2 linked regions of the Ovis aries genome follow. The protein of the gene in region 1 purifies or fractionates together with the protein of each later gene. This does not show direct contact. Links are inferred from orthologs where the notes say so. Each region holds a gene or a part of one and is shown on either strand. Other genes may lie near its edges. The genes, in order: WRAP53 and MDC1.

Region 1 (3,810 bases):
CCTCTCAAATCTCAATTTTTCTTTTTTAAAAAAAATTCCATCTTATTTGTTTCCCCACCCCAATACCTAATAAGCATTCAATTACTGCTTTTGTATTTTCCTTTGACTGCACCACAAGACATGCAGGATCTTAGTTCCCTGACTGGGATCAAACCTGTGCCCCCTGCAGTGGAAGTGCAGTCTTAACCCCTGGACTGCCAGGGAAGTCCCCTCAATTTTTCCTTGGAAGGGTCAGAAAGCTAAGACTTATAGGCAAACGGAATCAGCTTCTCCAGTTTCTTGGAAAAACTAAAACTTTGGGAACCAAGAGGTAAAGTACCAGCAGGGGAGGGGCTCAGGAGTGAACCAACTCTTGACTAGAGTTTGATCTTGGGAAAGTTTTATGCCCTCCGTGAGTCTGCTTTCTCCTCTATCTACTGGGTACAACCTCCCAGGGCTGTGAGGGTAACAACCCCTCAACCCCCTACCTCCGCACATGACCACAGGGCCCCTCTGCTCTTGGCTGGGCCCCTTTCTCTCCTCCCTTGGAGGTGTAGACTGCTTACCAAACGTGGTTCGGACCTCGCAGTCTCGGCCGGGCCGGGATGTGGAGAAGACACGCACAGTCCGGTTAAAGCCACAGAAGAGCTGGGAGCCATCCGGGGAGAAGCAGAGCGAGTGGGCTGCTGTCAGCTCATCCTGGGGGAAGGGAAGGGCTGGAAACAGGCCTGGCGCACAGCCTCTTCCTTCTCCAGGAAGGAGAGCTAGGCCAGGGCAAGCCCTGGGGCTAGGCAGAGAGTCCCTACCAGGTGATTGTAGGAGCGAAAGGAAGCCCGGAGCTCTCCGGTGAAGGCGTCCCAGATGTGAATTGGGTTCTCCCTGCTGCTGCTGGCCACGCTGAGAGAGACATGGACACCGAGGCCCCGGTGCTGTCAAAGGAAGGGGAGGAAGCCAACTGACCAGCCCTCTCAGCTCACATCTGAAGGTCAAAGCAAGCTTCCCTCCTCCTGAGACCCCCACAGCCCCTGGCTGTCTCTCAGCAGAGGGTCCCCTTAAAATGGGGGTGGGGAGGGAAAGCAGGCAAAAGACATCACTTACTAGGAGGTGTCTGGCTGAGCTGAAGACATCAGGGAATACCAGCAGTAGTCATAGATGGTGTCGCCTTCCACCATTCGAAGGACAGGGGCCTAGACAGAGATGAGGAGATGCCTGGGTCACTGGTAGGACAAGGAGGCCCACTCGGACCTGGAGCAGGTTTATGGCAGCGGGAGACGCTCTGTGGGCACTTAACCAGGCAGGGGAAGGCACATCAGGCAAATACAAGAACAAGATCTTGATCTTCCAATTCAAGGCTAGCTCAGACTTTCACATCAGACTTGGGCCACTAAATGCCATACAGATTTATCCTTTTGCTTTGTCAACACTTAGAGAAACAAATAATACCCCAACCCAGAGACAAAGAACCAGCCAATGATGCAAATACCCACCAAGCCACCTACCAGGTGCCATTGGATCCTTTACAAAAGTTATCGACCAGTTCAAACAAGCAAAGAAGTATTAAAACAAAGCCAAACCAAACCCTGTGAGGCCTCCACTCAGCTTAAGAAACAAAATGTTTTACCAAACAGTTAAAAACCTCTTCCCAATGAAATCCTCCTTTAGAGGGAAACACTATCCTTAATTTATCATTCTTGTATATTTCTTTAGGAATATATTCATAGAGGAAAGACAATATATAGCATGGTCTTGCTTGCCTTTAAACTTAATATGAATGGTACCACGCTACATGCGTCCCATCGTGATTATGAGATTTATGGTGACAAACTTAGCTTGAATTCACGCATTTTCCCTGCTTCACAGCACTCCATTCACGCATCGTTCTCTATTGACAGTCACTGATGTTTTTCCAGTTTCTGGCAAGTGCACTTTAACAATCTGGTACACATGTGGGAGGGATTCTCTGCAGTTTCTGCTACTGAGGGAAACCACTGGGCTCCATAGTATGTGCTCTGCCAACTCTACGAGATCGTGTCACTTTTTTTTTCCAAAAGTGCTCATCCCAATTTATTCTCCCCGCAGCGGCATGTAGGAGCACCCATTGCTCTGCCTCCTCTTGCTGTTGCCAGACTCCCATATTTTTCTCAATTTGAAGGCTGTGAAATGGTATTTCATTACAATATAAACTGGCATCTCTCATTACCAGTAAAGGCACTTTTCCTTCTAAGGGCACCTTCTCATAGTTTTTGCTCAGTTTTCTCCTTGGTTGTTGTCTTCGACTTACTGACTTAAAGGAAATCTTCACATCAGCAGGATACGAGTCCTTTGTCCCTTACTTGCTGGCCCTTGGGGTGATGTCACCCAGCTGTGACTGCAGGTCCACATCTCCACTCTTAACCCTTGCATCTGACTGCCTGGAGGAAAGTTCCATTAGGGCATCGCACAGGCTCCTCAACTCAGTTTAGCCGGGACAGACCCAGCCTCTGCTGCCTCTGAATCTGCTGCTCCTCCTGGGCTCTGCACCCGGTTCTCAAGGCTGAAGTCTGAGCACCCTGACTACTACTCTCTTCATGCCCTTTCCTCTCCTGGTCCAATCCAAGGCCAGAGCTTGCCAATTCCACCTCCTAGGTTCACTTGAACATGTCTCCTTACCTCTGATTCCACGTGTAGCCACTACCTTCTTGCCAGCCCTGGCCTCCCTCCTCCCCATACTCTAACCTGCCACTCAATTTTCCATTCTTCAGCCACACTGAGGCCCTGGACTCATGTACCGCATCATTCTCCTGCTCAAAGCATTGCAATGCTTCTCCATAACCCTCAGTATAAAACCCAATCTTCTAGGAAGACTTCCCTTACCAGGCATCTACCCCACACCCACCTCTCCAGGCTCATCCCTCACCCCTGCCTTCTTTCCTGTAACATCTCCACACTCCACCATCCTGATTCCCAGCTCTGAGAAGATGCCAACTCACTGCATTCCTGGGCTGCAGGCTTTCACACACACTAGACTCCAAGTCTGGAACAGCCTTCCCTCATTTCCCCCAACAACTCTTCCTGGTCAAATCCTAGCCATCCTTTGGGTCTCTCAGATACTTGTCCCCATGGGAAGCCTCCTCCTGAACCACGTTCCAAATGCCTTCTGTGTCTCCACTCTGCAAAAGGCAGGAATCATGTCTGTCTTACTTACCACTGCTTCCCCAACACCTACTGAGGAATCAGCACAATCAGCAGTCAAATGTTTTAATGGGCAAATGGAAACAGAAGACTGTCCCAATAACATAAGGCCCAAAATAATAGCACCTTGAATTAAAACAGAGTGAACTGGATAAATTAGAAAGATCAGGCGGACTTGATGGGATTTGGTAATTAATTGGATGTGGGGGTTAGGAGAGGGGGATTAAAGGATGAGACCCTGCTTTCTCGTTTGGATACCTAAGGTCACCAAGATGGTACAAAGACATGGCATGCAGAAGAGAGCTGAGGTGCCAAGGTACTCAGCAAGTCAGGGAGAATCAGACAGCCTAAGCCACAAAGGAACAGTTTTTACAAAGCAGAAAAGCAATTGTCTGGATATAGCATTTGAGAATGAGGACACCCCCTCCCCAACCCGAGATATGTAGGACACAGAGGTTGCACAGTCTCCCCTAGAGAAGGTACAGGAAAGGGAAGGCCTCAGGCAAGAGCCACAGGGTAGGCAGAGTATTCAGGGAAGAGGGGGGGACATAGAAATAGGAGTTCCAGAAAGCTCTGTGAAAAGGTAGAAAAAGGAGGAGAGGAGTTGGGAAACTGTGTTGAGAAGAAGCAGTACACAGATGCACAAAAATACCCCCAAAC
Region 2 (3,810 bases), on another chromosome or scaffold:
CAGATGGATGAGGAAGCAGGGGCTGGAGGAGCCATCTCTGGGAGAGCTAATTACCATCAAAGTCTGGGCTGGGGAACCACACATACTCCTTCACTCAACTGAATTTTTACTGAGCGTCTCATGTGCCAACTAGAGAATTAATTGTTGGAGACAGAACAGCAAGTACTACCTTGCGTCTGCTCTCAAGGAGTTCCTACTTGAGTGGAATATCCCTTCTGGGGCAATCGATTCTATAGGTTTCTTCTCTTCCCTTCACAGTGATGAAGAAGGGCCTTCCCCTGCCCCAGATGGGCCCGGGCCACCTTCTGCCTTCAACTTGAACAGCGACACGGATGAGGAAGAAAGTCAGGAATCAGGAGCAGGGGAGGCCTCTTCAGCTGCCAGAAGAGGTACCGCTGCAGAGACGGAACAGCCTGAACCTGTCACAGCCGAGATCCAGATTGAGAAGGATCAGTGTTCCGTGAAGGAGAGGAACGGGGACACAGAAATCGAGAGGGATGTGAGGAATGGGGTGGTTCCGACTGGAGTGATTCTGGAGAGGAGCCAGCCTTCTGGGGAGGACAGTGACACAGATGTGAGTGATGAGAGTGGGCCTCGAAGAAGGCTTGTTGGGGTCCGTCCGAAAAGGGCCTGGTCTTGTAACTTCATAGACAGTGATACCGATGGAGAGGACGAGGGGATCCCTGCTACCCCAGCAGTGGTTCCCATGAAGGAGAGGCAGATCTTCCACGAAGCTGGTACACAGAGCCCCCAGGCACCTGGTGTGGCACGTTGGCAGGGGAGCCCAGCTGATGGTGATACAGATATAGAGGAGGGGGAGGCCCCCCCAGACAGAAGCCAAGCCTCCGTGGTGATCGACAGCAATACAGACGATGAGGAAGAAGTCTCAGCAGCACTGACACTGGCATGTCTAAGAGAGAGCCAGGCTGGTAAGTGGAACCGAGATCCAGATGCAGAAGAGACCAGGGCCCAACCCGTGGCCCTTCTGGAGCGAAGCCAGGCCTCTGCTGGGGGAGACAGTGACACAGATGTGGAGGAAGAGGGGCTCCCAGTGGAAAGGAGGGGAATGGTTCCCAAGGGTTACATGGACAGGGAATATTCAAAAAAGAGCCAGCACCTTCCCAGGGACAGTGATACAGAGGGGAAGGAAGATGAGAGCTCACCGGGGGTCCACCTGGAGAGAAGCCAGGCCTCTGCACAAGTGGAGGATGAGGTCCCACTGGGGCCAGCTGTTGCACTTCCGGAGAAGCGTCAGGTACAAGGCATAGTGTGGCCACATCACACCGATGCGGAGGCAGAAGGGGACCCGGCACAGCTCCCCGTGCTGCGTCTAGAGGAAGCCCGGCCTCCTCTAGCTGGGGACTGTGAACTGGATTCGGAGAACACATCTGCTGTCAGAAAGAGCCAGCTTCCGGCGGAAAAAGATGCTGGGACCACGTGGGCTGCAGCCGTTCCTGAACAGGACAGAGCACTTGCCATCGGGACCCAGGGTGGGTCATCCACGGCACCAGGGGAGCAAGACCTTCTCCCGGTCTCAAGGGAAGACCTAGCAGATATGGTGGTGGACATAGGCACTCCAGGGGAGCCCCAACCGCAGAGAGAGGGGGCCCAGACCACCACAGGAAGGGAGAGAGAACCATATGGGAATAGGGCCACAGACTCTGGAGACAACCTCCACGGTAAGTGCTGGCCTTTCTTCCTCCCTGGAGGTCTGCGATAAAGAATGCTTCTTGCTTCTAGCGTATCTTAGTTCATGTGAGCTGCTATAACAAAAGACCATAGACTAGGTAGCTTATAAAACAACAGAAGTTTATTTTTCACAGTTCTAAATGCTGGGAAGTCTAAGATCAAGATACCAGCAAATTCAGTGTCTGATGAGGCCCTGCTTCTTACAGATAGCCGTCTTCTCGTTATGTCTTCATATGGCAAAAGGGCCCAAGGGAGCTCTCTGGAGTCTTTCTCTCATTTTTTCTAAATGACTTTATTTATTTTTGGCTGTGCTGGGTCTTCCTTGCTGCGCTGGCTTTTCTCTAGTTATGTGGAGCCAAGGCTACTCTCTAGTTGTAGTACACTGACTTCTCATTGCAGTGGTTTCTCTTGTTGAGTATGGGCTCTAGAGCTCAGGCTCAGTAGTTGTGGCACACAGGCTTAGTTGCTCCAGGGCATGTGGGATCTTCCTGGATCAGGGCTTGAACCTGTGTCTTCTGCATTGGCAGGCAGATTCTTTATCACTGAGCCACGGCTGAGCCTGCACTAATACCATTCATGCAGGCTGCGCCCTCATGACCTAGTCACCTCCCAGTCACCTCCTAATGCCCTCACATTGGAAATTAGGTTTCAACATAAGAATATTTGGGGAGACACAGATTCAGGCTATTGCATAGGATTGGGGCTGTGGAGAGAACTATAGAGAAAAGGAGTTAGGATCAGCTCTGGTTTTTTAATTATCCTGCATTCCTCCCCACCAGATTCTGAAGATCTGGACCTACCAGCTACCCAGTGCTTTGTAGACAGAAAGAATCAGAGCCTGGAAGGTGAGGCCATCTTTGTTGTGTGGATACTGGTACAAGCAGGAGCTGGGAGATTAGATTGGTGGTCCTTGAAGGATGTGAAGGCTGGCATAGGCAGCAGAGAAGACTGGGAATGGGCCCTCAGAGTTCTGTGGAGGAGCAGTGCTCAGGCCATGCTTTTTTGTGTAGCAGCCCCCAGCATGGAGGATGAGCCCACCCAGGCCTTCCTGTTTCCTCTGCCCCAAGAGCCTGGCCCTTCCTGTTGCAGCTCCCAGGCCACAGGTATGAGAAACTCACGCCTCTTCTGTGCCCTTAACTTGGCATCCTTATTTCCCCTCTGTCCAGTTCAGTTCAGTTCAGTCACTCAGTCATGTCCAACTCTTTGCGACCCCATGAATCGCAGCACGCTAGGCCTCCCTGTCCATCACCAACTCCCGGAGTTCACTCAGACTCACGTCCATCGAGTCAGTGATGCCATCCAGCCATCTCATCCTCTGTCGTCCCCTTCTCCTCCTGCCCCCAATCCCTCCCAGCATCAGAGTCTTTTCCAATGAGTCAACTCTTCGCATGAGGTGGCCAAAGTACTGGAGTCTCAGCTTTAGCATCATTCCTTCCAAAGCCTGTCTTTATAGCCTTTGACATTTTTTTGCTGATGTTCCTCCATCTAAGCAGAAAAGAATGCTACATTAAGTCAGACCCAGAGAGCAACTACTCTAGCAACTAGCTTATTTTAATTTATGTATTTGGTTGCACGGGGTCTTAGTGGTGGCACACAGGGTCTTTAGTTGCAGCATGAGGACTCTTTACTTGCAGCATGTCGGATCTAGTTCCCTGACCGGGGATCAAACCTGGTCCTCCTACATTGGGAGCTCAGAGTCTTAGCCACTGGACCACCAGTGAAATGTTATGGCTCTCTTCCTTATTCCCAGCTTTCCTTTAATAACTCACTTAAATTTATTATGCATGAATTTGTCTTAATCTTTTCTCAAGCTGTTACCTCTTCAACCTACATCCCTCTCTCTCTGACTCTGCTTCCAGGTTCCTTGGATGAGTCATGGGAGGCGTTGGCGACACAGCCATTCTGTCCGAGAGAATCTGAGGCCTCCGAGACCCAAACCGTTGTCACCCTCCTTGACACCCATGCATCTTGGCCCTCTCCATCTAGGACAGCACAGCAAGAGCAACATCCAGAGAGCCCAGTCCATGCAGAGCCACTGGGGATGGAAGGCAGAGAGATGCAGACTGTGGAGAAAGAAATGGGTACCCCAAGAGAAACAGCAGAGAGGGTGATCCCTGAGGG

The links.
Region 2: the proteins of WRAP53 (region 1) and MDC1 purify together in Homo sapiens (affinity purification with western blotting, with the first as the bait; 3 studies listed by BioGRID). This does not show direct contact. The link is inferred for Ovis aries from reciprocal best matches to the Homo sapiens genes WRAP53 and MDC1.

The regions. Positions count from the first base shown.
Region 1 is NC_056064.1:27,215,056-27,218,865, reverse strand, and holds part of WRAP53 (telomerase Cajal body protein 1), read right to left. Parts: intron 1,167-3,810; coding exon 1,078-1,166; intron 877-1,077; coding exon 786-876; intron 679-785; coding exon 546-678; intron 1-545. UniProt on the Homo sapiens protein: RNA chaperone that plays a key role in telomere maintenance and RNA localization to Cajal bodies. Specifically recognizes and binds the Cajal body box (CAB box) present in both small Cajal body RNAs (scaRNAs) and telomerase RNA template component (TERC).
Region 2 is NC_056073.1:27,424,197-27,428,006, forward strand, and holds part of MDC1 (mediator of DNA damage checkpoint protein 1), read left to right. Parts: intron 1-258; coding exon 259-1,679; intron 1,680-2,468; coding exon 2,469-2,534; intron 2,535-2,699; coding exon 2,700-2,792; intron 2,793-3,548; coding exon 3,549-3,810. UniProt on the Homo sapiens protein: Histone reader protein required for checkpoint-mediated cell cycle arrest in response to DNA damage within both the S phase and G2/M phases of the cell cycle.